2 linked regions of the Alligator mississippiensis genome follow. The protein of the gene in region 2 purifies or fractionates together with the protein of the main gene of each other region. This does not show direct contact. Links are inferred from orthologs where the notes say so. Each region holds a gene or a part of one and is shown on either strand. Other genes may lie near its edges. The genes, in order: OGT and ASXL1.

Region 1 (15,597 bases), on a different chromosome or scaffold from region 2:
AAATATGGCTTATTGCTACAGTTTCAGCATTGCACACAGACACTTTCATCTAAGTGATGACTCTGAAACTCATGCTAAGCTTAGGCCTACTCACAAAAGTTAAAATACAGAATACTGATGCTAACTGCATATTGCAAGAGGATGTGAGTTCATGGCTAGGCCATCTGAGAAGGAATAATGAAGCATCTCTTCCAGCTTATCTTGCTATACTCAGGATGATTTCAGGCAGACTCTTAGTTGTCTGGTGTGTAACCATATGAAATGTCTATCCTTGATTAATTAGTATGGTAAATATTTCTTTTGCAACTAACTCGTGTTTATGTGCAGGAAGAGACATTCTCCATATGTAATAGATGTCTCCTCCTGATTTAGTATGTTTTTTCCTGGCTGTTAATCATTTTCTTGATATGTTCCAAACTGGACAACCTCTTGTTACTGAAGAAGGAAACTAATTCAAACTAGAAATTTCTGATAACCAGTAATGAGCAGGTTTTTCCTGTCAATTACTGCTTGGGACTCTCTCTTGATTTACACAACTAAAAGAATGCTTTGAAGATGCTAAACTAAGGGTATAAAAAGGCAGCAAAACAGCAAACAGCGCACGCTTCAAGAGTGAGAAATCTCTCTGACGCCGGTTGCTGATGTGCCCGACGAACTCGAGAAGTTGAGGAGAAACAGATCGCCTCTTTGTCGCCTGTCTGGTGAGAAATCATCACCTTATAGCTAATTGCTGGACTCTGACTGGGTTTGGGTTCACTTGACTTGATTTTAAATACTTGTAGTAAATAAAGCCTTTCTGTCACACTGTCACGAACGAGGCGTTGTGTCAATCCCTGGGCTAGTCCAAAATCCTAGGTCTTTATTTACTAACATACGGGACTGTCATCTATCCCTGCTAGATATTTCAACATCAAGTTTAAGCCTAGTAACTCAAATGTCTAAGTCTTCACCAACTCTTTTATACTGGAAACCAGTAATGAAAACTCTAAGCCAAAATAAAAATACTTTTTGCTATAGGCAAGCAGCAAAATAAAGCCAAATCTAAAAAGCAACAACAGCATTACTTGCTACTTTCCCTTATTACAAATAACTACATATAAAGGTTCCAAAGACCATTAGAACTATTGCAAAGTATAATTTAAAAGGTTTTCAAAAGTTAAATGATAGTGCAACTTTCCCAATTCTCAAACCAGACATCAATTTCTCCTCATTCCCTTCCTGATTTCTTCCAATTAGGTCAAAAATATCAAGGTCAGTTTCAGATGAGAAAAGTCCAAGTGACAGGGCAGAGGGGGGACACCCATATTCCTGTCTTTGTTAAACCAATTACAAAGACAAGCATAGAACTAGCAGCATAACAGAATTCCAAGAGGAATGCATTCACACAGACAACTCAAACGAAGGAAGAAATTACCTTTCAAGAATTACAAATAAAAGAGTTTTGAATTTATGAAGGTCAGGCTTTAAGAATTACAGCCAAGGATGCATCATTCATTACTCTGCAAGCACTTGCATAATCCAAAAGCAGACAAATCTGTTATGAAGTAGCAAATCTTCTTGAAGGTTAGGTTAAAAAAAAAAGGGAACTCCATAAACAGTGTTACTTACAGGATTGTACTGAAGGGCAGACACATAGGCCTGTACAGCTCCTTCCATATCACCAGCAGCTACCAGTGCAGCAGCCAAATTAATATAGCCATCAATGAAATCTGGTTTGAGACGTAACGCATGTCTGTAATGCTCAATGGCTTCTTGCAGCTGCCCACGTTCCTTGTACACATTTCCTAGATTCGAGTAGGCTTCGGCCAACAATGGGTTTTGTTTAATAGCCAAAGTGCTGAAGTGAGCAGACCTGGAGAAGATTAAACAGGTTAACACAAAAACAATTTTGTTTTCCAGTTACTGGGATTTACAGCCAAATACATAAAACAACTAAACCCAAGTTTCCAAACAATCCTGAAAATGGAATCTGTTCTAGCGCAAGATCAGTTACTCTACCCTCAGAGCACTGACAGTTTATATGAGAACTGAAGAGGAAGTACCTACTTTATGTAGAGTTTTGCAAGGCTTCTAGCATATGCTCAAGCCTACAGCCAACTATCGTTCCAAAGGACATCGGGACTTCTGTTCACAATTTTCACCAACAGTGGTCTCTGGAACACTGCATTCAACTTAGGTCCCTGGCAGACATTACACTTAAGATGCAATTAACTTGTTGATTGTAACTTAAATAGTAACCTAGACATCTGTTTAGGAAATCAATGGCATGATTAAACAGAAAATAAGCCACAAAATGTGTGTAATATTCTGTGGCTGGTGTCCATTGCACCTTATACTGAACGGGTAGCAGCGTTTCCACTATGGAGCCTAACACAGGCTGCACGGCTGGGCTCTGGGACTGGCCTCAGTACAGTCCTACAGCTGGGACCTATAATGAACTGAATGCCAGTCTGTCTTGGGACTGTACTGGAATCTTGAACCAGGTCCATTGAGGTCCTGGGGCTGAGATAACAATCAGCTGATTCACCTCAGTTCATTAGGCACTTGCCTTACTACTTGCTAGTGTAAGGGGGAACCAACAAGTAGTAATTAATGACAGGGTTGGGATCTGATCCCCAATCGCAAAACCATGCGTCCTGCCATGCCACACGTGCAAGGCAGAAAGTGCAACTCTTCCAACGTGAGAACAGATCCATTTGCACCTTCAACTGAATGTGTGCCAGGAGCCTTAATTAACATGCTCCCTGCTTTCCTTTTAGGAGGTAACACGCAGCAAGGAAAACTAAATATAGAATGTGTTTTTCCCCCCTGTACCTGGGAAATATTTTTAAACTTTAAATAAGGTATGTAAAATGAATCCCAGTCATTAGGGTACTACATTTGAAAGCCTGTTTAAGTCTACCCCTGCCATGCAGTTGGTCCAATAAAAAGTTATCACCCACAAAAATCCTTGCCCCTCACATACTTCCTGGAGCACGATGGCTACAACATCACTCCAACACAACCAGAGACAAACACCTTGTGCTGCAGTCGAACAGCCAGTGAAAGTGGCAGTAGCACGAAGGAACACCAAATAACATAAGTGCCTCTGAGTGCACCTAGTAGCTATACATGGCTATTTGTTGAATTCTGACATTTAGAAATCTTTTCTTCACATCATGTCACACTGTTAAAAGCAATCCATTTAAAGGAATATATATGTCTATACTCTTTGGTTACTTTAGGCACAAAAGCAAAGCTTTAAAACAGCTTAATAAAAACTGTTTCAAGGTTCCTTAGTCTGCCTTTTCAGAGCAGTTGAAAAAACATCTTCTAACTTCCATTCATGTAGTCTCTGAAACTCTGGAGAAGCAGGGGGGGGCGGCACCAGATCTACATAGCCAACAACTGCAAACTGAGGACCTTTTCACCATTAAGAAAGTCCAGTAGAACCAGATTGTGACTAATACGCTGATCCTCTCCATCATAAAGAAGCAACACAAATGAAAGTTTAAATAAAATGGAAGTTAGAGCATTATTTCTCACAGCTGCACAGCAGACTTCTCTTTTCACAAGCAATATACTGACAACACAAAAATATGAAGACACATTTCAAGTCCCTACCTGTCCAGCCTGCGACACTGGAAGTGAATGGACGACAGTAACAAAAGCACACCAGTATTATCAGGCTCTTGTCTCCAAAGCTGCATGCAATGTCTCTCTGCTGCTTCAAAGTCTCCTGCCTGATATTCACGATGAGCCAACTCCGCTAACCCTTGGAAGGAAAGCATACGTTTCGTTGGTTCTGGAGAATCACCAAAACATTTAAGGGGGGAAAACAAAAAGTTAGAAAACGGAAACAAAAAAGATGTAAAAATATGGTGTATAAAATTAAAGGATGAAAATGTTTGAAGCTACATAAAGCACGAGTGCCTGACACATTAAATGTCTATATCCTGAGCTCAGCCTAGTTTTAGTAATTTTCTAGCATTAACATATGTGTTTAGTTCACAGTAGACAATTCCCTTCTCACTCTGTATTGGAAAGCATGCAAGAGTTTACAATCTACAACATAAACAGGATCCCTTATTTTCAGAACCACTTCAGTCACCATCCCCTGCTTCCCCTTTTGTAAGGGTCAGAAAAATAAATAAGATACAAGCTACCAAATTAGTAAACAGATTTAGGGATATGACACAAAGGAATTCTTTTAAAGGGACTCTGGCAATATTTCACTTCCTTTTCATAGGAGGAACCTTGTTATGAGCACAGGCTAAATGTGCTTATCCTCTTACTTAAAGCTAAACCCTGTTTATAACATAAGCAGAGCATCTGATTTTAACAGATAGCTAAGCAAAACAGAAGGAACAGTAGATCTGGATTTCATGCAAAGAACTCAAGAAATAAGACAGAACAGAAATACAAACTACGTTAAAACAAATAAATTTGTCCCTACTGTCTTGCAGCGTGCACTATAGTCAGTGTTCTCTCAGGCCTTCAAAGAAAGGAGTAAGTAAAGACTTATTACATTTTCCAGGGCATAAAGCATATTTTGTCCCCTCCCTGAGGAAAGTCTACAATGAAGATGCCATCTGTACCAATTATGTAACACAAACTGTAATAACTAATAACTGTTAACAAAAATTAAATAAATACAATTGAAAGTTTTTCCCCACAACTGGCACTTCATACAGGGGTGCATCTTATACCCCAGAATATATGGTATTCATTCTAAGTGGTTACTTAGGCTAGAAAGTGGGATTTAAAAGATTTCTTTTTTAAAAATACCCGTGCCCGAGACAAATATAATGCAATTCTACTTGGTCATAAAACCAAAGGCAGTTACCCGATACAGAAAAGACTTCTAGACTGAACACAGACACTATACTGTTAAGCAGAGATTAATCAATCCACTCATCCCAGAGAAAGTTTGCCCCAGTAAACTCCTTTGGAAGATACTGTATTATCGTTATGACTCTCAGGATCATAGGACAACAGCGCCAGAACGGACCTCACAAGGTCACCTAGTCCAATCCCTAGCTCAAGGCAGGATCATCCCAGCCAAATGTCTTAAAAACATGCAAGGACTGAGATTCCACAAATTCTCTAGACAGCCTGTTCCAATGCTTGACCACTCTTATAGTCAGAAACATCTTCCCAATCTCCAACCTAAATTCTATCTAGTGCACTCCCCACAAGGAAAGCCAGAGTGGTGAGAGGTGCCAGGCTGTGCTGTCCCCTGGAGCAGACTCAGGGAGAAGTGGGCAGGGCTTCAGCCAATTTCCAGAGAGCCACAAGTACCATGCCCGCAAGGCAGTTTGGCCCCCGTTGGTCTAGCAGCTTCTCCAAATAATCCCCAACATATTCTGCCATTACTCTAGGCCAGAGGTGGGCAAAATGTCAGATCCAGGCAGTAGCTGGACTCCATTTCCCAGCAGCCCCTGCCTGTGCTGCTCCCAGCCTGTCTCCATGGAGCAGTGTGGGCAGGAGCTGCTCCAGGACTGGGATCTTGCAGCAGTGACAGCACAGGGACAGGGCCAGTCTGCTGCCTACACAACCCATGCTTGTTGCAGGGGCATGCGGGCAGCAGGTTACAGCTCTGCCCTGCTTTCCCCCTCCCCCACCCAGATCCCATGCTCTCCCTGCCTCTGCTTGCCCATCTCACTCCTGGCCACAGCCCCATTCCCAGCTGCACGAGTCCCATCCCAGCAGTGGAGGTGGGAAGGATGGGCTGGGTTTGGCAGTGGCAACCAGCAGCTGCCATTGCACGGGGCTGCTGGGAAATGGAGTCCACCGCAGGCCAGATTTGCCCACCCCTGCTTTAGGCTGTTTACCTCCTTCCTTACCTGTTGCCAACGGTACTCATCATTTGATAGCTGCCCCTATCTGTAAAGACTGAAGTAAAAAAGGCATTAAATACTTCAGCCTTCTCTACATCCTCCACAGCTAGACTGCCTTCTGCTTTCTGTAAGGGACCTATGATTTCTCCAGTCTTCCTCTTACTTTGGACACACTTTTTACTGCCTTTTATATCCCTTGCCAGCTTGCATCCCAAATTGTGCCTCAGCCTTCCTAATTTTCTCCCCGCAAGCCTGCGAGGCACAATTTGGGATGCAGTTGGTATAAGTAGTACTGTTATACGCTTTCCTAGTACTACAACCAAGTTTGCACTTCTTACAGGATTCCTTTTCGAGTTAAACTCAGAGAAGAGAGTGTAGTCTAGTCAGGCTGGTTTCCTGTTTCACATCCCATTCTTCCATCGCATTGGGATCGCTTGCTCTCAGGCCCTTAAGGGCCTCCTTGAAGTACAGCCAGCTCTCGACTTCTTTTCTCCTTAGACTTGCTTCCCAGGGGATCCTGTTCACCAGTTCCTGTTAAACTCCAGTGTCCTTGTTCTGCTGCTCTCCTTCCTTCCTCCACTTAGGATCCTTTAAATCCATCATTTCATGGATGCTGTCACCAAAGTTACCTTCCACCTTCACATTCTCAACCAATTCCTCTGTTTGTGAGCAGCAAGTCAAGAACAGCTTCCCCTAGCTGGCCCCTTTACTACCTGTATCAAAAAGTTATCCCCAAAACTGCAGCAATTTGATGGACTGCTAATGCACTGCTGTGCTTCCCTCCCAGCAGAGATACCAACAATTTAGAGTGCCCATGAGAAACAAGTCCTGCAATTTGGAACCTCCTGGTTTTGGAGGCCTGTAACCAACACCCACCATGACATCTCACCCTGCAGCTGTATTGTGACCTTCATCCAAAGACTGGCAACCTCCCTTCCAGTTTGGGCCGCATTTCCAGAGACATGCACGTCTTCTCTACGTATACAGCAACACCTCCTTTCTTCCCTCACCGGTCCTTCCTGAACAACTGATACTCAACCATGACAGTATTCCAGTCTTGTGAACTATCCCACCACATCTCCATAATCCCAATTACATCTTAATTCTGTGTTTGTACTAGGACCTCAAACACTTCCTGTTTGCTCCCATACTTCTCACATTGGCATATGAATATTTCTGGTACCCGTCTATCCTATCTCCACCCCCCCCAACATTGCTACAGCTTCTGTAATTGCTTCCCCTTACTACGTTTTCATCCAGGTCCCCAGCCTCTTCCCTTACCTCTGGACTTTTGCTTTAAGATTATAGGAAACAAAAGTTTAGACAACATTTTTATTTCTGCTGTTTACTTTTGGCATTTCTGTTTCAGTTACCCCAATAAACATTCCTATCCTAACTTGGCTGTTGTTTCAAGGCATGAATATAACGCTGGAAAATCCTCTACAATATAAGAGACCTCAACACGGGGTATTCCAGCAAAGCATTTATGTACTACAGAAATTCCAGAAAGTTCATTTCCCCTGCATGTGTGCAGCTCTTCACATACAAATAGGACACACTTTGAAGTGGACAGTGTGTGGAGGCCGGGCATTGCAAAGGGCATCAGGCATAGTAGTATCTGAAGCCATTTATTCATTTATAATCAACTATTTCAAACTGATGGTCTTTGTTTACCTGTATTAAAATGAGCTTTCTAGTTCATACATGGAGATAAACTGAACTCTTTATTTTTCCGAGACTAAATTGAGGACAACTCCAGCACATCTCCTACTGTTCATGCTTTGCCAAACTACAGGTACGGTGAAGTCTGCACAGCTTGGGAAAACATTGAGAAGAGGATGGGCCTGAAACTATACCAGAAAAAACCAAAAACTAAGGGCAAGTGTAACACCATTTCCTATCAGATCTACTCGCTGCAGGCCCTGATGAAGGCCAGATTTCCCGAGAAGGATCACCATTCTTAGGACCTCAAGCTGAGAGGGGAATGACGGCTCGCTAAATCACTGTCATAATAACGTTCCTCAGTCTTCTCTCTCCTGGCTACCGCTGGCCCAGATGTCATCCTTTAGACGGCTGGTATCCAGTATGTTATTTAAAGTTCTCTTATTAAGCAGTCCCCCACTGCTGAAGATGCAAAACCACAAAGAAAATGAAGCCGATGCAAAATAAGCCATCTTCCTCGTTCAGTATCTCTCTCGATATAAGCTAACAGCGTATCAACCTGCCAGATGACTGGCCATACACGCTATTCGGGTAAGAAATAAGCATCGCCTTATAATACTTAACCTGAAAAGTCAAGTGCAATGTTAAGATGAAAAATGGAATAGGAAGACAGTAACAGATATATGGAAAGAAAGTAAAGATGCTCTATTTTTATCTGTGAAGGAAAGGGGGTTTTTTTAGTAAAGAACAGATGAAACGTTCCCTCAGGACTGACTTTGTTGAGTCCCTTGCAAAAATAAGAAGGCACAATGAGGCCAGATCCAGAGAACGAAGACCTCCACGCCCGGCCAGCGCCCGGCCCGCCCCTGCGCGCCGATCCTCTGCGGGCGGCCGCCTCGCCCGGGGCAGCGCCGCTGCTGGAACAGCGCTCGTGAGGTGGGGAGGGGAGCCAAGCGCGCGGCGCTGCCCCGAGCCGTGGCACACGAGGCGGCAAGGCTCGCCCGGCCCCGGCCCCGGCCCGCCCTCGCCGGCCAAAGCAAGCGCCGCGGCCTGGGGCGGTCCCGGGGCCAGCACGACCCCGCCGCCGGGCCGAGTACACGGGGACCGCGGGGGAGGCGGAGGGCGCGGGCCCCGGGCCCGAGGCGGCGGCGCGGGGCCAGGCCGCGACCCCTCGGCGCCTTCTGGAAAGTTCCGCGAGCTCCGGCCGGGCCCCGGGAAGCGCGGGGCGGGGCGGGGCGGACGCTCGGCTCGGCCCGGCCCGGCCCGGCCCGGCAAGGCGCGGCGCTCGGCCGTACCTGTGCTGTCGGCCACGCTGCCCACGGAGGTCGCCATGGCGAGGGGGTCCGGCGGCTCCGGCTGCAGCGCTCCGCGCGGTGCGAAATGGCGGCCGCGGAGGGACGAGTCCGCGCAGCTCGGCCGGATCTAGCTCGGCACACAAAGTAGTCCAGCAGGACACAGCACCGGCTGCACGCAGCGTCCCGCGCAGCAGCGGCCCAATTCCCGCCGGACAAGCCTGGACGCCTTTGCCACGCCGGTATCCCACGGGCAGGGCCGAGCGGGCAGCGCGAGGCCTCAGGGGCGGCAGCACTTTGTTATGGTGTCCTTCCGCCTGCCCATTGCGACATCCCGGCCCCAGCGCGCATGCGCCGCCCTTCCGCACATGGCGCCCGCGGCCACATCCGGGTGCGTCACTGCCGCGCGGGGCCTGCTGGGAGCACCCCTTACCCTTCTCTCGGCCCCGCTCACGAGTGGGGCGGCACGAGCTCCTGGGCCGGGCGGCTCTGCTCGGGCCCCCAGCGCCGCTGGGCCCGCACCTGGACAGAGCAGAACCAGCCCCAGCCGCGTCCTCTGGGTCGGGTCCCAAACGCCTCAGGGATGGAGACCCGGCCCCCGTCTGACCTGGCCCACTGCTTCGCCCCCCGCCGGGCAAGAACGTTTTTCCCTTCTGCCACATTACTCCTTGTCCCGTCACGTGGTGCCCCCTGCGGGGGGTTTCTCCGCTCCACGGAGGAAGAGGGAGGTTGGCAGTTAAGCAACTCCAGGCACAGCAACCCCTCGAGCAAGGAAGTTCAGAAGAGACCTGATCTGACATACAACACTGGAGAAAAGCACAGCTCCCGGAGTCTGCCCACAGTTCTGCAAAGATACACGGGCCATGCATGTATCTTTTTTAACAAAAGTTTACTCACATTTCTTTTACAGGATACTTTCAGACATTTATTTTTTGACAGTGTGTAAAGGCCGATTAAACAAACCGCACCAAAAACTAAATTTCCAGCTCACTCACTAATATCTGTAAGGATGTTTTGTCTCTGGAAAGAACGAGGAGGCACAAGCCAGAACATGGGATTCTCGAGCTGACTCCTGTAACTGATGACCAGCACAGCTGTTCAGCGATGTCAGGAGGGGACTTTTCCCAAAGCTTGGCATTCACAGTTTAGATTACTATTGTACATTATTTCACGTAGTTAACAGACTTCTCATTAAAATAGAAGTTCTATCCAAGAAAAAACAGGTGCTTCAAACGCGCATCCCAGACTGCATTGTCCGTGAGTCTGAAAGGGCACACAGGACCCCTGTGAACCACGAGTGCACACATGCCGTAGCAACAGAGGATGTCTGGGAAGCTTATTCATCCGAGTCCAGGTCACTGTCTCCTGCAATGGAATGAAATTCCTCACTGTCCTCCTCATCCTCAGACAGATGAACCTGGCTTAGCACACTGGGCCCACAACGCTGTTCTTCCTCCTCCTCTTCCTCCTCCTCCTCTTCCTCCGAGACTTCATACCCTCCAATGCTGCTAAAACTGGTATCTCGTGTGTTGGACTTGGGATCTGGTTCCTCATAGCTGCCATAACTGAAAGAAAAAATGAAATCTTACTACATTAATGTTTCTGACTGTTCATTTACACTGACACTCTTCCCTGGACCCCAATGGCAAAGGCAAAAAGGCCCATACAAGAACAGGTCTCATTTTCTCTACTAGTAAAAAAATTCCCAGTGTAAGAACTTTTGCTCTCTAGGAATCCCTCCCTTCCTGCTCCCTGAACAGCATGATGAGAAGAACAGCACCCAGCCTCACAACTCCACAGAACAGCTAGAGGAAGAAGCAGCAACCTATGGCCCATGGGCTGGGCCCAGCCCGTGAAACCACTTGATCTGGCCCATGGATGTGGGGCTTTGGTGGTATTTGGTAGCAGATCCAACCGCTGCTACTGCTTCTAGCACCCACCCACCTCCGACCCAAGCTGGGTCATTGCAGCCTGAAGCCTAAAAAGTTTGCTGACTGCTGGGCTAGAAGAAAGCCAAGCCAAGACAAAGAACATGGGGTCTACAAGGGGCAATCTTCTATACACCATGCATCCGATTTTCAGGCAAATGAACTGCTATCAAAAGATGCACTGTGTACACTTCCTCTCTTTTGACATTCGTATTGCCTTTACCTGTTTGTCCTTTAAAGGGAAAAAGCATTAAGTTAAACAGAATCTGAGGACCTAAAATTCATCTCCTAAAAATCAACTCTTTCCACAATAATAGCATTTAATATTGTCGAAGACTGTCCACATGAGTGAGTTTTTTGCTCTTTAACAGAGGCCCTCGCCACACGTTACACTTGCTACTTGCTGGGGCAGGGAAAGCCTGGGATCATGATCCTGGGCTCCCTCTGCACCAGCAATAAGGTGTGATGGCATGTGTGGCATAGCAGGAAGTGCAATTGTGTGGATTGTGCACTGGATCCTACTGCACCTTTACCTGCGCGTCTGGCAGAGGCCAGGCGGTACACAAAAGTAGAATGTTAAAGCTACGAATCATTTGACCTTGCGTTACCACGTTTTTTCTTTTCTATGTAATTAGTGGGGTTTGGGTTTTTTTAAATTTGGTGAGGTACCTACAGCAGAACCAAGTTCACAGCAACGAGAACATTAATAAAATTTTAAGAATAATTTTAATTTAATAAAAGAGTAACAAAGTGGTTATTCTTTTATTAAAGAGTTAAACCCCACCATGATCTGGTCTTCTCTACAGTGCTCTCCTAGTAGGGGCATAAGGTAAGTGCCTTAGAACGGTGTTTCTCAACCTGTGGGTCGCAAGAACATATGAAAGGGTCATGAACAAACTTTAAAAATGAATGAACCAACTTGAAAAATGGATTCTCCTTTAAAGGAGAAAAAACATGGGAAACCATGGCTTTTCCTTTGCAGGCTGGCAGAGTTCCAGCCTGCAAGGGACTGCTTGGGGCCCTCCATGCACCCCACACACTGGGGGGGCAGGGTTGGGAGTGAGGGGCACTGGGTCCAGACTGGCCATTGATGTTTACAAATGGGCCCTAGTCCAAAAAAAGTTGAGAACCACTACCTTAAAAAAAAGTAACAGAGGAACAATTTAGTTCTATGATTTTATGATTGGAATAAATTAGTTCTCCAGCAGATAGTGGTTTGTTTGGGTTTTTTTTTACAGCTCAGCTTTGATTACCTGATATTACTGTCCTCCATCACATGAGATGTCTCCCCAGTATCTCCCTCATAGGACATCATACTTTCTTCATTGTCCATGCCCATACGTGTGTTCTCTTGAAGGACGTGAGGCTGCTTGGGCCTCACTGCATTGGACTCCACGTCCGAATCGCTGCCACTCTCACTTAGCTGGATAGCTGTGCAACAAAGAGACTTGCCGATTACTTTTGACCTCTTTTTAATGACCTAATTCTCAGTCCCGTTTTAACAGCCAAAAGCTTCAACAGCAAGAAAAAGTCCTGTTTCCCATCTAAATCACTTGTGTTTTCATTACACCATTGGCCCAGTCCAGCTCCACGTGACCCCAGTAACCGACCTGAGCCTCAGTCTTTTCCCTTCCATCCTTCAGAGCTCCCCTATCAATCAGAAACGTCAGATCCTGCCTAAGCTTCTGTTTCCTGAGTCCACACATTTCACTTCTACTCCACTTCATCTTGGCTTACACCCAAAATTCATGCAACTTGCTGCTTGCTGTCGTTATCTAGTAGGTAACTGGGCTGTAAACATCTGGTCTCTGTCACCTCAGTACCCTGAATATCTACTATCCCAGGCCAGAATATATGCTACAGTGATCAAAGGACATGGGAGGTTGGCTGGGATGGGAACAGCCATTTCCTGCTCAGACCTTTGACGTCAAGACCCTAACATACATGAGAAAGGATTATCGCCTTCTTCGTCACTCCCATCATCATCATCATCTTCTCCATCTGACATGAGCAGATCTTCATACAGAACACTGGCCTGAGGCTGCTGGGCTGAGCCTTCTTCTTCATCAGCAAGGTCACCATCTGCATCTTCAACTTCCTGTGTCACACACAACAGGAATGGCACAGGTCAAAAAAAATCACATAAGCTACTGCCAGAGCCGGTACATGCTTACTAATTGACACAATTAATGAACAATACATTCAGTCATTTGTTTTTATGCTGACTGTTTCATGACCACAGATAAATCTCATTAATCACTGCTGTGAATTCTGTTGTCACTCAGGTGCCAGACCCAGCAGACTTGCCCTGCACTATGGAGTCTTCTACTATGAGGATGCAGATCAACAAAGTGGACTACAGATGGGATTTCTGTAAATATACTCACTGGGGCTGGAGTCTTAGGTTTCCCATCATCATCCTCATCAAACCCTTCAATATCTACGTCAGAGTCTTCCTCGCCCAGCCTACCTCGTCCCTGGCGCATCTGAATGAGGAACACAAATAGCAACACCATTGAGGGAGGCACTAGTGTCAGAAGAAAGAGTCTGACTGACATCCAGACCACAATAGAAGTATACCCTGGGAACAGGGACTCTTTTTCCTAAGAACTTCAAGACCTAACCAAATCTGTTTCCTGGATGCTTCTGCTACACTCTTCTCTAAGGAGGTCACAAGAAAGCGAGGCAGGCATTCCTCTCTACTTCCTAGCTATTACAGGATGGGCAATTTGTCCTAGGAGAACTTGTGGTTGGGCCTCGTTTCCTCAAAGTCAGTAGGCTGGTTCAGCAGCTTACAGCCACAGCCACATGCATGGGAAAACATGCACAGATTCTGTCCCCAGAGGTGCAGATACTGCTTACTAGGAGGCATTTTAGAACCCCAGATACGAGCGATACTACATTCTGCACTGAACTTTCTTCCTTGCCTGTTCCATCAGTTGCTCTGTTGCTATTCTCACTCTTTCTGCTCTTGTCATTTGCCCTCTCTTTCTTTCTCCTCAATGCCCTCTTCCCCCTTCATACCCAGGTTTTTCCATTAAATTTATCCTCCTCTTCATCCTCCCTCGCTCCATCTTTAGCCTCTAATTGGGGGGGAGGGAACCAACAAAAACAAAAAACCTAGCAAAACTTGCTCCCAGCGTCACCATAGCTAATTTGGAAATGCATTGTGATCCTTAATCCCCACTGCTTCCCCCATTGTCGTCTTTTAAATATAAGAGTGTGGCAACAAATGTGTCCTCTTGTGCATTTCAACACAATAAAATAATTATCATCTTCCACCCCATGGAAATTACTCTTCCTTTGCCCTATTCAAAACTAAAGGGCACCGACTTTCAGGGCTCTGCAGCAGGACTGACCAGGTTACCTGTTTTCCTAGCGCTACAGCAAACGAAGGCCTGTGGCCCTAGACAGTCCCCTATCACTTTTTACTCTTCACAGCCACAGAGAAACATATTTTGCCAGTGGCCTTGCACACACCTGCCTTTTTCCAGTGTTTCTGTCTCATTTACAATGACCACAAGGAAGGAAAGCATGCCATTTTCTCAAAGGCTTTCCACCTCCAGGTGAAAGCTAGATATTTTTTTTCCCCTCTGGGTCCCACAGAGTAATTGCCTCCTTAGAAAAAGGCACTTATATAACCTAGCTCTCTACCAAAGAATGGAGGAAATCTGACCTGGGCACCCCGCTTCTCTGGGGTAGTGGTAGGAGTATCCATGGCAGACAAATTGCTCTCATCTTGATAGACGGAAGCATCACGTGACATACTGAGGGAAGTGTTGGTATCATACAAGTCTGGTGGCTAAAGTACATGAGGAAACAGGAAACAAAAACTCTCTCAAAAGCCAAATCAAAGCTTTAGAAGACCTCAGGAGGAAAGCATGACTGGAACTTCACTAGCTTAAAAAATGCATGCGTTTAGTTCTCAGTATAAAACACTATAATAATCAGAAATAGTAATTTACTCCTAGGAAAAAGAAAAAAATTGGACTAAAAATGGTAAAAGAACCCACAACTTGTTACTTCTATAGGAATAATCTTATTACAAAAAATGGACAGATTCAGAAAATAGAAATAAACTGTTGTGGAGATTATATTAGATATGAAGACAGATGGCATTTTCTCTCTCCTTCCCCGACTAATCACAATGGTTCTCAGCTGCCTACATACCATCTAATCTTGTTTTAAATGTTTCAATAACTGGGACTTCAGCAACTTCCTTTATAGACAGTTCCACAACCTGAGATTTCCCACTGCCAGGAAGTGACCCATGGTTAGCCTAAATATCCTCCCCTCTTAAATCCATCCATCACTCCTAATTAAATCTCCTTCCCTGTTATCTGCAATCATTTCTATTCCCTGTTTTGGACTAGATACCCAAAGAACACTTGTGGTCCATTACCTCCAAATACTCCATATACACCCCAATGGCTTCACCTAACTTGAATGTTTAACTTCCTTTTTAGAATAATCTGCACAGGCCCTTAACTCAATCACCAAACTTACTCTGTCCTTCCATTTTCCTAGTATTGCAGCACCCAGAATTAGATGCAATGTTCCACGTATAGTCAATCTAGATCTACGTAAAGGAAGAAGCTACTTATCTGCAGCAGGAAAATCAATTGCAGGGAGAGTCCTGCTTAGGCCGTGCAGCACTCTTCAACACATAGCAGCTAAGTTCTCTAAAACAATGTCCACTGAGCATGTGGGGACAGATTTTTTTTTTCCCCCCCCAAGACTTATGAACTCGACCCAACTTAGGCATGTTTTCCAGAGGAACAGCAAAAGATACACCCGTAATACCAGGATGACCCTCCCCCATCATTACATTTTAAGTCAAGTCCTTGTTACAAAGCATGGAGGCATCTGAACTTTCAGCCAACTAGCTGTGAATTT
Region 2 (15,597 bases):
ATTTGGGCTGCTTCGTTTTTCAGTTGCTGTTGACTGTCATCCTGTGTATGTTTGTACCTGTTTCTTCTTCCTCACAGACAACCTCCCCCAAGACCGACTGGTGCGTGTATGAGAACTTGCCTGTTTTTAGAAATATTCTCATGTGTGAAGTCTACCTTGTGTCCTTGTCTACCTAAGTGTCCATTGACTGCCTCTGTCCAGGCTGGAAAGCTCCATTGTCTGACCCCCCTGAGCAGAAGGGCAGAATGCTTTCTCCGCGGAGCTCACCTCTGCATCTTGCGGGCACGGTGCCTCGGTGAGTCAGCTGCTCGGGTGGACCCAGAGTTAAGTACTAACTCAGCTGCTTTGATTCATGGAGTGTTTTTTCTGGGTCAGGATAAAATTAATATATATACATTTTAATTTTGGTGGGGAAAGGAGGGGTTTGCTTATGAGTGAGGGAGCAGACATCGGGTTTCTGTTAGCCTGCCATAAACTTCCGTTTTATAAGCCACTCTGTCTGTGCAAGGAGTCTGTACAACTGGCTCTTGTGGTATAATACAGTGTCACATTCTCTCTCCTTCCCCTTTCTCTCTGGCATATAATCTTCTCTGAGACTGTGTAGTTTAAGCACTCAGAGCACTGATGTAAAGTAAATAGTTGCCCAACTTTAGGTAGTCAGATGGATATGCGATATATGTGTGTGTCTTCAGCCAGTATGATTTTAGTGGGTTTCTATCTGAAACTTGTCAACTGAGAATATTGCTTGGGACAGGATTGGCGCATTAGAAATCAGAGCCCGAATTGAACCTGTTCTGCTTTTACTCTTAATAGGCGAGATGGTTGATATGTCAGAAAGCCCTGCTTTTAAGTTCCAGAAATAGTTTATCAAGGCGAGAGAAAGGGAATGAGGTGGACAGATTTTAAAATTGCCTCTTCAGTCACAGTATTTAAATTGGAACAGTGGTAAAGACGTGGCTGGTGAATGTACTCGCAAACAATCTCGGGTGGCTGCCAAAGCTTTTGGCCTCTCACACTGACTGAATTACCCCTTGACCAGATCCTCGGTGGCACTGATATTAGGATGAAATGAATGCATTGTGTCTTAAACTGTACAAAATGTGTAAATCTTGCGTTGACGTGACCCCTCCAGGTCTGTGCCTCTCTGCAGCATGTGGCTATTGTCCGAACCATCTGGGCTTCCTGCAGGTAAACAACCAAAGACGACAGGAAATTTGCCCAGCTCCTGGATGAGGTCCTAGGAGAGTGTGTGCAATCATAGTCTCTTCATAGGAGTGTTTTTACATCCTTTCAACCTTTGCTCCGATCTGTATAACTGGGTCCAGTTCTGTTTCTCCAGCTAGGCACAGTAAAGCTCTTCTATTCCAGAGTCAAATACTACGCAAAGCAAAACACACAAGAATGAAAGCACTTTCTTAAAATCCTGAATATAGGTCTGATGCATGCTGCTTCCGCCTTCTAAAACACATACTTCTGCTTTAACCTTTTGAATGGTAATGATGCATTATACAGATCCGACTTCTGGGTCAATACAGATCTCTCTGTCTAGCTGTAGTAAGTTCTCCATCACTGAACCGCTGATCCTTTGCCAAGTTTCAGAGAAGCACTGATTGCTGTGACTGTGGACATCTTCTCTACCCTGTCTTTCCACCTCTTGTGTCTGACCATAAAGCCAGGGCTTAATTAAGAGGCCTGGCTCTGTTTCTGCAGTGTTAAATGTGCAAATTAGAAGAACATGCCTGCACAATGCTAAAGCCATAACCGGGTGCTCAGATGGAACTGAACAAGAGCAGTGGTGCCTGTTTGCTCTGCACTGTACAGTGGTGGTTTAACTCCCTATGGTTTAGGCACTTACTTCCCTTCACGTCTTTGGCCCCGTCTCTCCTGTTTCTGGAATGAGGTGCCTGTGAGTGCTCGTGGGCACACCTATCTTTTTTGAAATTTCACAGCTCCTTGGAGACACACTGATCTTAACCTTCTCTTAGGTGACGTGTAGGCAAAGAACATGTCAATAGCTCTGTCCATAGGTTTTACAGCTTATATTTATTTGTATCATCTCTTTTGTCTAGGAATGTAAAAGTGATCCTAAAATAAGATGTGTAATAAAATCAATCAGATTTATTGTATCTACAACAACGTGTCATTTTCTGTTCTTAAACGAGTTAGTAAATAATTGCTATGGGTTTAATGGGACCCGTAGGATATTGTAAAACATCATGCCCTATTTGTTTTTGAAGGAAAAGAATCGGGTGAAACAAGCGTATTACAATTAAACAACGGAGCGCGAATGTGCTGTTGATGAACGGTGTCAGACTGCTAGCCCCAAAGAACTGACATATTGCTGGTATCAGTCATATATGATCTCTACCCCAGGGAGTCCGCTTTCTGGATTCCATTAAAATAAAAGCAGTAGTGGAAAAGGTTAGGGTAAACCTCAGCATTCATTCTCATAATGCACCCCCTGTTATAAATGGCCTAGATTTAGAAGGAAAGTAAGGCTGGAATGAGATGCAATCCCTCATTCTTCTCACTAGAGGGAAATAAGGAGTACCACTACAGTAAAGATTGTAGGGAAAAAAGATGCCTGCCAACAAGCAATATAAAATAAGACAAGCCCTAAAGAGCAGTGACCTCTAGAGGACAGTAATTCAGCTGAGCGTAGATGGTAAAAGTAAGTGTGATGGAGAAAAAGTATAGTGAATACACTAGATCAAAGCCTTCATTCCAGAAGAGCAGCTAAGGGGCTCTAAGCAAGTGCAGGAATTGCGGAGCTGGATTCAAGCATTTGCCTGCATAAGCACAAAAAAGTGTGGTGCTAGTCACTTGATTAGAGGTTTGCAGCCTCACAACTTGTGTGTGTGTGTGTGTACATACAATACATACGCACGTACACACACGTTTCCCTTTTTAGCTTTTTTTAATTACTCGAGAACTTGAGTCATCCTTATGTGCATATAGCACCCTCCTGGATCAGAGTATATTTAGAATCCATATAACAATATACTGTTAACAGGTTGTAATTAAGATTTTTAATATTGTGATTTCAGCCAAATACTTAGAAAGGGTTCTCTTCCCTCCACATGCTTATGCCTTGCCATCTGTACTTCTCAAATTGTGAGAGATGAAGAGCAGTCTTATTATAAGATTATAGGATACAGGCATCCCTGCTTAACGCTGTTTTGCTTAGCGCCATTTCATTATAGCGCTCACTTAAAATTGATACCTGATTTCACTTAGCGCTCAGCACTTTGCGCTATAACGCTCGCGGTTGCCATCTTGGGTCATCGAATACTTTTGGTTTCGCTTGACGTTCATTTAGCTTAATAGTCGGTTTTCCAAGAACCAATTAAGAGTGCTAAGTGTGGGTTGCCTGTACTAAATATATGGCTGAAATAGTTCTCTAGAACAGTAAGGTTTGATTTTTAAACCTGTTTTATGTATTTGTTTCTCTGTTACTTTACTGACTCCTGATGGAAGCTGTGATTTTCTCCGATTTGGAAAAAAAGACTTGGAAAAAGTGAGATGGGGTCGGGGGGGAAATGACACAGATTTTTCTGTGAGATGAAATAATTTCAGTAACAAATGAGTATAAATATCAGTTAAGATTTACAAATTTTACAAAAAAGGGCTTATCATCAAAGAAGTAAGGCTCTGAAAAGGTCTTCTAGGACTACTGGAAGCAAATAACCCACTGAGTTTTAAGACTGAATTTGAAAAGTTTATAAATAAAATGATACGACATAGTGCCTGCAATAGCAAGGAGCTGCACTGGGTGAACCAGGAGTTCCTTCCAGTGCCGTGTTCCTGCAGCGTATACTTTGTAAACGTACTGAGTCTTCAAACATAAAGACACATCCGAAAAAAGTCAATAAAACATGAGGGCATTTGTGCTCTGTACGCTATTCAAGTTTATCGTGCTTCTGTTTTGAATCCTAGATACCAATACCCATTCTCAACTTTTCCCCCTTTTTTGGCAACTGGCCTTTCATAAACCTTTGCTCAAACTAAACTGACGCTCTACTGATGCCGAACGGGCTGACCAGCAATGCAGGTCTTCAAAACAAAAGACAAATGAACAGAAAATAGTCAAATCACCAAATGAGTCTGCCGTATCTCCCACAGTGGCACCTGTACAAAATTCCAGTACTTTAATGCAAAACAGGGCCCCCAGCCTCCTCACAAACACAGACTCGGGGAAGAAACCTGCAACTGAAATTTGAAATGGTGAAATAAAGGAATTGAAGGTTACATTCACTCTGCCACCATTCAGCTGATGACCTTTGCACTGGGGGATCATTCCACGTTCAATAAATAAAGGAAATGGTCCAATAGTTTTATTAAATTTTGCCCTTGTATAGTTCCAGCTCTTTGTCTTAATTAGATCACGCCATGCACTGCTAAGACTGCAGCAAAAGTATTTATTGTCCGCCAGTGTTTTTGTGAGTCTAAAACCATCTCCGTTTGGTTTTGCAAATGTAAAGCTATCCGATGGCTCTCCTCTGCGTGAAATGCACACAGCCTCCGGCCATTCATGACAAATGGTGTCTGGCTCTGGACCACTGCAAATCTGAACTCCCTGAGAGCTTGTAAGCAGGTTTCCTGGCTTTCTGGCTTCTGCAGGCAGGCTTTGCTCCCTGAGGAGCTCCTCAGCCAGTCCTCCCAAATGACAGTCTTTCAAGCAAGCCAAGCAAGTGGAACAAAATCCCACTGTCCTGGCCCAGACACGGGGAGGGGAATCCTTTTGGCTCTGAGCACAGCATAGCTTGGCCCCTGCATGTGGTAAGCAGCTCAGTCCACCACTTGTTTCCTTCTCCTTGGCTTTCTCTTCTCCCTAACCCATCCAAATCCCCTGCAGCGGGACACTCGCAACACGGCTGGCTGGTCCCTCTTAAAGGCACCGTTCCCACCGCTGACCTGAGGGTGCCTCTTCCTAGGCAGCAAACATTTAAACCTATTTGAGCAGGAAACTGGAACAGGAAATTGGACCCAGATGGGCTTGGTTTCAACCAGGATGATGGAGTCTCATCCCATTACCTGGATGAGCTTCTGTCTTTCCTTTGTTCCCATGGGTTGTTTGCCCCCAGCCTCCCCTTCTGCCGGTCGTATGGTCCTGCCGCCTTCTCACGGACCCCTCTGGGACCGTCCCTTCCCCGCACCGCATGAAGGGAGCTCCAACCCGCTGACCGCTACCATCGTGAAATATAACAGAGCAAAATTCATACAATACGACATAATACAATGTAACATAACGTAATGTAATATATGATACACTATAATGTAATGTGATCAGGGATCCTGGTTTTCTCTGATAAAAAAAGTCCCCAATTTTCAGGTTAAAAAGTCACCCCAAATCCACATTTTTCTGCGATTAAAATGAAAAGGCTGCTAATACATAGATAAATCTCTAGAGATAGATCTATAGAGATGATATGTGTATATATATATATATATGCATATATATATATAGATGTATACATGTAAGATACAGATATATCTATATAGATATATATAGCTATATCAATAGAGAGATATCAATATAGATATAGTTATATCAATATATAAGTATATATCAATATAGAGATATCTCTAGAGATATATATCAATATATCTATATAGACAGATACATCTCTACAGATATAGATCTTTATCTATCTATACATATAGATATCTAGAGAGATGTATAAATATATATATAATAGTGTTTCATTTTAATCAAGAAAAAATGCAGATTTGGGATTACTTTTTTTAACCTGAAAATTGGGGATTTTTTTAAACTAGAGAAACCCAGGATCCCTGAATATGATACAACATAGCAGGATATAATGCAAGATAACATAAGGATGCAATACAGTACATTATGCTATGTTATGACTCAATATAATATACAATATCTGACACAATACAACACACTATGCACATATTTGCACATTACATTATGCAATTATATAGCTAGCCTATATTAAATTATGCATTGTGTGTATGCGTATATATATATACCCACAAACACACATATATATGCGTTTGTGTATATATATATATACACACATATATATATATATATATATATATATACACACACACACCCCATGCATCATTTAATATTATGCATAATTTTATATATATATATACACACACACAGAGAGAGTATGCATATTTTTATATATATCTATATCTATATATATAGATATAGATATATATATATATATACACACATACACACCCACACCCCCCTCCTGCCACTGCCCCCCCGCGCCGCCCCGGCCGCCTCCCCCCATCCGGGAGCCGGACACGCCGAAAGGGCCGCTGGGAGGCGTCCGGGGCCCAGCTCCCAGCATGCAAGGCGGTGCGCGCGGGGTCTGCCGGGAGCCGTAGTCCCGAGGCGGGCGCGGCGGCGCAGAGGCGCGGCAGGACTCGCGCTCCCAGCAGCCCCCGCGGCTTGTTTTCCTTCGAACGGGCCCGTGCGCCGCGCCCCGCCCCCTCCCTCTGCCGGCGCAGCGCGGGGGCTGTCTTGTCCCGCCGCGGCCGCCGTCGCCAAGCCCCTCCTTCCGGCTGCGAGCCCTTTGACCCCGTTGTTATGTCGGGCCCGAGCTGCTGCCGCCGCCGCCGCCGCCTCCTTCTTCTTCCTTAGCGCCCGGGAGCCGCCCCCCCCGCGCCCTCCCCGCCGCCTCACGCCGCCGCCCCGCGCCGCCCCGCCCCACGCGCCTAACGGTCCCGCGCCGCCTCCCCCTCCCCCCCCCGCGCCGCCGCAGGAGGAAGATGAAGGAGATGAAGCAGCGGAGGAAGAAGGAGCGCACGTGGGCCGAGGCCGCCCGCCTGGTGAGGGGGCCCCGCGGCGCGGAGGGGCGGGGCGGGGCGGGAGACCAGGCCTGCCCTGCCCTGCCCTGAGGGGCCGCGCGGGGCCTGAGCCCCGCTCCCGTCGGCAGCGTCCTGAGCCCGGCCTGCCTCGTCCCGGGCGGGAAGCGGGCCCCTACCCCGGCTTAGGTGCGCGCAGGCCGTGTGTGGGCAGCGGCGACATCTCTCATTCAACCCCCCCAATACATTCAGGCATATTTGTCTGTCCCGGGCGCAGGAAAACGCCGCTCCGCCCGCCGGCCCGCGGTCTCCCCGCCAGCCTTGTAACGGCTGTTTTTTGGGGACAAGTCCTGAAACTTGTGTTTCTCAGTTTGGGGGGGTCCATCCATCCGTCCATTCAAGGTGTCAACGTGTAGAGTCGATATTTGCTCTGGCAGCGCTGGTGGGACGGTGCTTTCTCTTGGAAATAACTGGTTATTTCTCAAGGCCGGGTGTGCGATTTAAAGAAGAAACTTCAATCTGACCATAAAATGATCGGGGTTTGCATTTAAAAGGAAAAAGGGAGGCAGGAGCGCACGTTGGAGACCGGGCTCCGTCCCCGAACTGTTGATCGCGTCGCCTGCCCCGGCTGCGCTGGCGCGGGCAGGGGCACAGGCGCGCTGTTCGAGTGCATGGCTTCTTTTGCGCGCCCCGTAGTGCTCACAGTTTCTGCCCTCTCCTTTTAACGCCGGCGGGAAGAGGAGCCCCTTGTTGCCCGGTAAACCCCGTGGAGCTGTCGGACCGCGGGCAGGGCCGGGTCCTGCGGTCTTCAAGCAGGGACTGGTGGAACAAGGTCGGTTTCCTCCTTGAAGCTGTCATTAGCGCTGGGTCGCAGATACGCTTGCCCTATTTAGGACTGTGAAATCCTAGGGAATATAAACTTTCATTTCTGCCCTTTTACAGTCTTTCCTCCGATGCCTGATGACGGGGGTTTGTGCCCAAAAGCTTGCAATTAAAGATGTTTTTATTTTTGTTGCAAAATTCGTGTTGGTCGAATAAAAGATAGCATCTCTACCACAAGTCCCGATTGACGTTTCCTCTGGACCGGTACGGCTGCCGCTTGGATGCCTTGCCATATTTAGCGTGTTGTGTACGGACAAATATAGAAAAGACGTACATTGCGCTTTTTTTTTTCATCTTTGGCATGGTTTATATTAGGGTATATAAATATTAAATGGGTGGTGTACGATTGCTTTAGATCAGTTTGGTTTTAGCGTCCAATATGTTGAATGCATTTTAGAATTTGTTTTTAAATACTGCTTCTGAAGGGAACTTGCTCGGTCAACAAAACGCTCCCAGGACCGATCGCGAACGGAAAGGAAATCTAACCTTCTGGTAGCTCTTGGGGAGGATCGTTATTTTTGAGCCCGTGTAATTTCTGCTCGTCTCTAGCGCTTGAATCTGAAGTAGCGGTTGGGGAACAGTAATGCCAGGTCCATGCAGTGAAGGGCTTTGCCCTGCGCATCCCTGTTGCAATACTAATTTTATGGATGATGCGCTTCCATACGGGCTCTTAGGCGACTGCTGGCGAGTGACCCAGAGATGCGGAGTAAAGGCTAAATTTTCTTGCAAAACGCTTCTTCCGCCCAACGTACTGAGTTCTAATGGAGACCTGCTTGGTATTCGGGGGCTGCCTCAAAGCTACAGCGCAAATAGGGCAGTGAGCTGTTTCGTGGCATGTGGTCTATCAGTGAACCTTTGCACACCTGTAGTTTCTGTTACGTCCCTCTTGGTTAGAGCTTCACCCCTCTGTATGCCGTGTGCCTGAGGTCTCTAAGTCCCAGCAGCATCTTTGTTCTATTTCTGGTTTGTCATTGGCTCAACCTCATCACAGATTATCCATTTAGGGAGACCAAGTCTTGCCTAGCTGAGTTCCCGGGTTGCAAACTCCCTTTCTAATTGATTGGAAATCTATTAAAAATGGATCTTTGTTCAAGACTAGGCTGCTTCATATGCTACCCATCAAAATGCTTTTAATATGACTCTTTAGTAGTTAGCGTTACATTTTGTATTCTTTTAGGTTGCTCCCCTGGATGGAAAGCAAAAGTGCTTTTTGGTGCCGCGTATTGTAGAGCTAATGTTTTGTGAATTCTGTAAAAACAGTATTTTAACATTTAGTTAATGATGTAGAACCGCAGGGAGTGTTCAGGACAGATCCTGAGGCTAGCAGGAGGGTAATTGGAGGAGTACCACAAACATTCACAATTCTGGTACTGAGGGGTTGGCAGGAACTGGAAATATTGTAATTATTGCTTTTTGCTTCTTGGGGAAGAAATATCCTGCTTTGTTCCTGAGTTATTCCTGCTCAGACTTGGTTCATGATATAGCCATGGCCTGTCATAGCCGGAGGAAGAATTTCTCCAGCATTAGCAGGATCCTTGAGGGTAGGAGAGCATCCGGCAGTCTTCAGCTCCTGCATTAAACAGTGAGCGGTACACCTGATACAGCTGGGAGCTATGAATTGTTCTCCTGAATAGGAATGCTCATTCCTGGAGGTAATTCATTCATGCCTGGTTGTGGGCTGTCCCTTGTTGATTGCCTTTGAGTTCGGTGTCCTGGAGGGGGTTTCCAGAAGTGTTGCAAGCAGTGGATGTTTTCTGTATTTCTTACAACGTGCGTGTTCTGTTTCACACTTGGCGCTTGAATGGTGCATGTCCCACAGGAGATGCCCTTTCCTTCTGCATGAGGAAGGGTGACAGTTTCTGCAGACAGCACCAAAGGTGTACACCCCATTAGATCTTATTAGTGTGGACGAATGTTACAGAGCTGTGCTGGCTGAGAATTAAAATAGTTTACTTTCTTTTAATCTAGCTTGTTGTTTTCCTGGATTCTTTTCTTTAGACTCCAGTGGAGTTTTCATTGTATTTAACTGTAGTTTCACCATTCCCAACTTCCAGTCCCCTGCCAAGCTGACAGTACCACACTTGGTATATTTTCTTTTCCAAATGTGTTCCTGTCACACAGTGGATGTGATTTGGTTTTGCCTTTTAGTGAGAAGCGTAGGCAGACTTTTAACTGCAGTATGACAGTAAAGCTGTGTCATTCAGGTTGGGCTTTTTCTTTCTTGACAGAGGCTGGGAGGTAGTGGTAACAATAGAGGTGGTGACCTGTGCCACTTTCTTGCAGATAGTTTTGTTCATACAGCTCCTCATATTGAAGGGAGAGCACAGCCATTGCTCCCAACAGGATGCTGCAGTGACTCTATTCTAGATGTTGCTGACAGAAAAGAGGGCCATTTGTTTTCTCCACTCATTGCTTGTACTAGATGAATTGAAAGACAGGATCATGTTGCCAACTTGTATATAGAACTGCGACTACTGGCATCTGGATTTCATGTCGCTGTGATCGTTACGTTGGGGAATTTTGTGTATGATTACTAAACCAGCGTCCCAGAAAGAATAGCCGTTGCTGCTGCTTTTGGGTAGTTCAGGACATGTATTGCATTTTACATGAGAATTGTTATACTGGATCAGACCAGTGGTCTGTCGAGTTTGGATTCCTGGCACTAATGGTGGGTAGTATCAGCTGCTTCCAAGGGAGGGGCCAGAAATCCTACAGAGTAGATGGTTATGGGTAATATGCAATGAAGGGGAGTTCTTCCTAAGTCCCAGGACGTAGAGGCTAGCTTCACTCCTGAAATAAAGGCTTACATCCCTTCTGTAACTGTACCTGTACATGTTTCCTATTATTGTGCATACCTAGTTATTGCTCTAAAATGCCCACTCCTTTTTATTTTTATTTTTTTTAATTCAGCTAAGTTGTTGGCTTCAGTGATGTGTTGGAGCAGTGAGTTCCACAGGTTAACCCAGCATTGTGTTGGAGAAAGCAGTTTGTTGACTTTCACTTGAACTGACTCTCCCTCCACCCTGTTTCATAATACAAGAAAAAAAGAAGCTCTTTCTTTAGACCTTTTTTTTGTTTGCTTGTTATTGTATGCCCTTTTCCATCTCTTCTCTGATTCACTTTCTCTCTAAGGTAGCCTCAGCCTTTTCAGTCTTTCTGTGCATACATTTTTCCTGTATCTAATTGTTCCCGTTCCCTTTCTCTGAACCCCCTCTGCCTTACTTCAGTATCCTGTTTGAGATGGCCAATATAAATGAATACGGTATGCTTCCTACTTTGCACAATAGCACTTTGATTAGTTAGGGACCTTTTGAGGAAACAAGGCAAGACATTTGCAGCTGTTTGAAATGTGCACAGATCATCCATGTTGTCTGCTCCTGGGGCGGCCCACGTTTTGTAGCAGGTATCCTTATGGAGGTGGTAAATTCTGGGAGGTCCATACTTGTATTTTAATCCCAGTTAAGGAAGCAGCTCTGTGAATGTGAACAGAAATTGTATGCTGAGTCCGGGGTTTTTTCTCTCTTCAGGTGCTGGAAAATTACTCTGATGCTCCTATGACCCCGAAACAGATTCTGCAGGTCATAGAGGCTGAGGGACTAAAGGAAATGAGGTTAGTATTGATCTTCTTGTCTAAAACAAAATGTGTGGTATGGGGGAGGGTGGATAGAAGGGGCTGGATTTCTTAGTGCAGCTCTTCCTCCTTTCTCTAACCTGTCTTTTTTCCTTTTCTCTTCCTCTGTAGTCTGATTGTCTAGCATGAGAATGTATTAGGTCATTTTCTTTGACAGTTTTGGAGGATTTTCAAGTTCATTGGAACAAAAGCACTGACCCTCTGTGCCTTTTAGTGGAGTTGCAGGGATTTTGTAAAATACAGTAAATGCCAACTGCAGATCTGTTTCTCACATCAATACTTCTCCTTTGCATGTTCCTTTTATAAATAAATAACTAGTTACTAATACTGGGTCCGAGCTTTTACAATGAGTTAAAAAACTTTGTCTCCATAAAGCTTCCACTTCAGAGGATGTACCACCCCTTTTCCAGGGGTCAAGGAAGGCACCTCCCTTACATAAGCAACATATTGAGCTCCCTTCATTTTCCAGCACTTGGTATATTAGTACTGCTGTACTTTTTGTGGCCCCTGTAGACTGGGAATATGGAAAAGAGGTGCACCTCATTGTATCTTTGACCTGGAGAAAAACCTGAACCTGACCCAAAAAAATCATAGGGATGGAAGACCAAGTGTCATCTGGGATTAGTCCCCTGGAATTGGTTTTGTTATAAAGCTGAAGGGAGATGCACAATATTTGGCAGGTCAGAGGAAGGAGATGTTTGCTACCTCTGGTGCTGCAAGCTCCTTTACTTGTGCAATGAGTTGAAAGTCACCAGGATTGATTACTGGTAGTAGCTCAGCCTGTCTTTGGGTGTTGAGTATTGATTGACTCGCGCGGGATATGAATGCTCTGTGCTCTTCTAATTGTATCTTTTCCCCCCTCCTTGGTTCCACGGACTGTTTTCCACCATGTTGCATACATCGCTGTTGAACCTCTGCGTGACTATAGAAGGTAAATGAATTCCTTTGGGACTTGGTCATTCAAAATTTTCACTTGTTTCTGCTTCTCCTTCCCTTTGAAATTAGGAACCAGTCATGATGGTTTGAGTAGTGAAGAAGGTTGTAATTCAAACAGGGGTGTAATATGTAGGAGTTACTGTTGTTTGAAAAGGGACTGTGCCAGCTTGCAGTACGGTGCCTTCTTGGTACCAGAGCCATTGAAGCACCCACTCATTTAGGTTTCTTAAAGATTTCATAGCCATTAGGGCTGGAAGGGACCTCGGAAGATCATCGAGTCCAGCCCCCAAAGAGGAGGCTTTTGGTGGGACTGGACATGGGCAACAATGTCAGAGCATAGTGTGGAATAAAAATGGGCTTAGATTGAAAAGCTTTGTGGTTTTGCCCTGTTTGGATTAGTTACTCATCTAGTTACTTCCTTTGTTCAGCCCTCTTCCCTATGTGGGGTCTGTTGGCATTAGATTGTCCCTTGTGAATGGCACCTTTTCCATGATAGGCAGGTAAAAGCAGGCTTTGCTAAATGTCAGCATTTAAATCTTGGGTTAAATTAATTTGTTTAGGGATTGGTGATTTTTCTCCAAGGGATTTCTGCTTCCATTTGCCCCATCATTGGTTTTATGCTACAAAGAGCAACTGCTTTCTCTCTCTATCATGTAAGTGAAAGGACAAGCATTTGCTACAGATTCAATGATTAAAATATGGAGTGACCATTACAAGCAGAGATCTTGTCTAGCTAATTGTCAGGGTTTGAGGGACTTCCCAGAGAAATCTTAAGTCTTGAAAGAAATAGCACAGTGACTCAAAGGACCCTCTTCCAGATGAGTCAGTCCTGATTCTAACAGACACTTGGCTGTATTCTTCAAGAAGTGCAACAGTGGTTGTTAGTGGCTTATGCTTGAGCTGGGGCTTTTGGGGCCAGCCTCTTGGCTAAATTTTAAAACCTGCAAATGTTTTGAGTTCTCTCATTCTCAGCTGCAGCTTCAGCTGGGGAAGTTACACTTTTTCCACTCTTTGAATTTCTGTTGTGTTGCCTGGTAATTTATTTACCACATTCGTGTTGGTGCCAGGGGAGAAATTGTGCAATAGAGGAGGAATCGGAATTTCTTCATGGTATATAAAAGCAACCCATGGTAACTTTGCTTACTTTCCTGTGTAACAAAGAAATGCCTGAAAACAAACATAGTCAAAATGAAACCAGAAGCCGACTAAGGCTGGTTTTCAGTTTGAGAAGCTGAGATCAAATTGTTTGACATTTTGGACTGAAACATTTGGTCTGATACCAGTTTCAGTTTCACTTTGAATAACGGTGAATTCTGCATTGCTTTTAACATCTCCTCTAAGTAGCTCGTACCCATATGACTGTGGAAAACATGACACAGTGGTGTGTGGCACAAAGGTGTCATCAGCGGTGGCGTAGGACGGCTGCTTTGCTTAGAAGTGACAAACAACCCCTGAGTCCTGTAGGCCACCTAGAATAATGGCATTAAAGCCCTCTCAGTTACAGCACCTGGGCATGTATTCTGCTGGCGAGATGTATAGTGCAGGAGACTATTTTGGAAGTGTTTGAGTTTGGAAAAATGTTGTACCTTTGCTTACAAAACCAGGTTTCCTTAGCAACGTTGGGCCAGTTCAGAGGAACTGTAGAAAGAAGAAGCATCTTGTGTTAGAACCCTCTTAATATGACCTAGGGTGACTTGAACATTGACATAACAAGCTGTTTCCCTTGTTCGCTGTGATATGCCAAGACTATGCCGTTCAGAAAGTAAAACAGTAATTGGTTTTGACTGGCTGAAATGCATTTCCATAAAGTTTGTAACCATCCTCTCTACCTGCTGCTGCTGGTTTAAAGGGGAAGAAACCAGTGGATGGCATAGTGCATTCTCTAAACTGGGGTTTAAATCATGAATCCTCTTTCTTTCCATTTGCAGTGGTACTTCCCCCCTGGCCTGCCTCAATGCCATGCTACATTCCAATTCAAGGGGGGGTGATGGACTCTTTTATAAGCTGCCCGGACGTATCAGCCTTTTCACACTCAAGGTAAACTGTGAACTCCCCTCTTCCTATCTGGGGACCAGTCGCATATCTAACTTGCTACACAAAGAGGTTGATGTTATAAAGTATATCAGCTTGACGTATCGGACACAGTAACTTCTTGTGAAATAGTCTCTGGGCTCGGGGAATTTTTGTCTGCCTCTGCCTAAGATGCTTATGATAAATTTCAGTTTTTTTAACTCTTAAATTATACAAGCAAGGCAAACTTCTCTTACACCACTACTCAGAATGCCACTCTTTTAGTTAATGCAGTTATGGGATGATAGTGCCCTGTCAACATGGTAAGACCTCTGTGATTCCCTTCCGGTTGTTGAAAAAGGGCACAGTCCGATTGCAAATAACATCTGTCTGAAAGTATCTAATGTACAATTACTTGAAGAAGTTAGTGTGTATTTTCTCATTTATTTACCATTACACAGTTTCCCTGCCACAGTATTCACAGTTGTGATCCTTCTTGTCCCTGAAATGCCTAGCGGTTCTACCTGAAATCACTTCCCAGTCAGTTTGAGTTGACAGTCCCTTTCATTTTAAATGTAGAGGATATGCCTAAATTCCTCCATTTTTAGTGCTGGATTCTCTACTGTTAAGGACAGGCGAATAAATGACTGACATCTCAGATGCTCTTCTCTCCCCCATCTTTTCTCTCTTCCTTCAAAGATGCATTATGTTAATTGCCATTTTATGTCTGAGAATAGATCGAGTTCCAAAGTGTTTTTATTTGTCACACGTGTAATCAATTCAAATGAATGCTTCAAGCGTGGCTGCTCAGTAGCTGGCTGCTCTGACACTGCTGGCTCTTTATCTCTAGAAGTGAAAAAAAATTCAGTGGCTAAATACTGTCATGCAGCTTTTCAGTCTAAGGATGAATCACTTTTTTTTTTTTCCTGAATGTTAAAAGGAATAACAAAAGTTACACATGGACAGATCCGACCAAACGGTGTTTGTTTTACATATTTCAGGTGTACTAGAATTATTCTGCTGAAAAGTATTCATAGAGCATGCTGGTTGTTCAGTTCTTGTATCTGAAAAGTCTGTATGGGGTTAACTTAATTAAAAATTATGGTACTGGCTTCTCCACTAGCAGCCCAAATCTATTTAAAAATCCCTCTCTTTATAAAGGGGAATAAAAGGCAAAAGAGGGAAAAAATGAGAACTGCTACATCTTCATTGCTGCCTTTTGTGTTGGCAATGGGACACACAATAAGAATGAAACTAGGGTGCGTGCTACCAAGACGGGAGTGGGCCACAGTTAGAAGGAAGAGCACTAATGACACGAGATACTGAAATTGTCTGCTAGCCAGATA

The links.
Region 1: the proteins of ASXL1 (region 2) and OGT purify together in Homo sapiens (affinity purification with mass spectrometry; 3 studies listed by BioGRID and IntAct, with this or other methods). This does not show direct contact. The link is inferred for Alligator mississippiensis from reciprocal best matches to the Homo sapiens genes ASXL1 and OGT.

What each region holds. Positions count from the first base shown.
Region 1 is NC_081831.1:83,414,220-83,429,816, reverse strand, and holds the start of OGT (UDP-N-acetylglucosamine--peptide N-acetylglucosaminyltransferase 110 kDa subunit), read right to left. Parts: upstream 8,886-15,597; 5' UTR 8,814-8,885; coding exon 8,777-8,813; intron 3,785-8,776; coding exon 3,604-3,784; intron 1,853-3,603; coding exon 1,609-1,852; intron 1-1,608. Other genes in the region: TAF1 (transcription initiation factor TFIID subunit 1), read right to left, coding at 10,110-10,338, 11,955-12,132, 12,646-12,799, 13,089-13,187, 14,378-14,503. UniProt on the Homo sapiens protein: Catalyzes the transfer of a single N-acetylglucosamine from UDP-GlcNAc to a serine or threonine residue in cytoplasmic and nuclear proteins resulting in their modification with a beta-linked N-acetylglucosamine (O-GlcNAc).
Region 2 is NC_081832.1:1,413,831-1,429,427, reverse strand, and holds the start of ASXL1 (polycomb group protein ASXL1), read left to right. Parts: upstream 1-6,527; 5' UTR 6,528-6,756; coding exon 6,757-6,816; intron 6,817-11,201; coding exon 11,202-11,284; intron 11,285-11,372; exon of another isoform or gene 11,373-12,129; coding exon of another isoform or gene 12,130-12,233; coding exon 12,234-12,236; intron 12,237-14,169; coding exon 14,170-14,278; intron 14,279-15,597.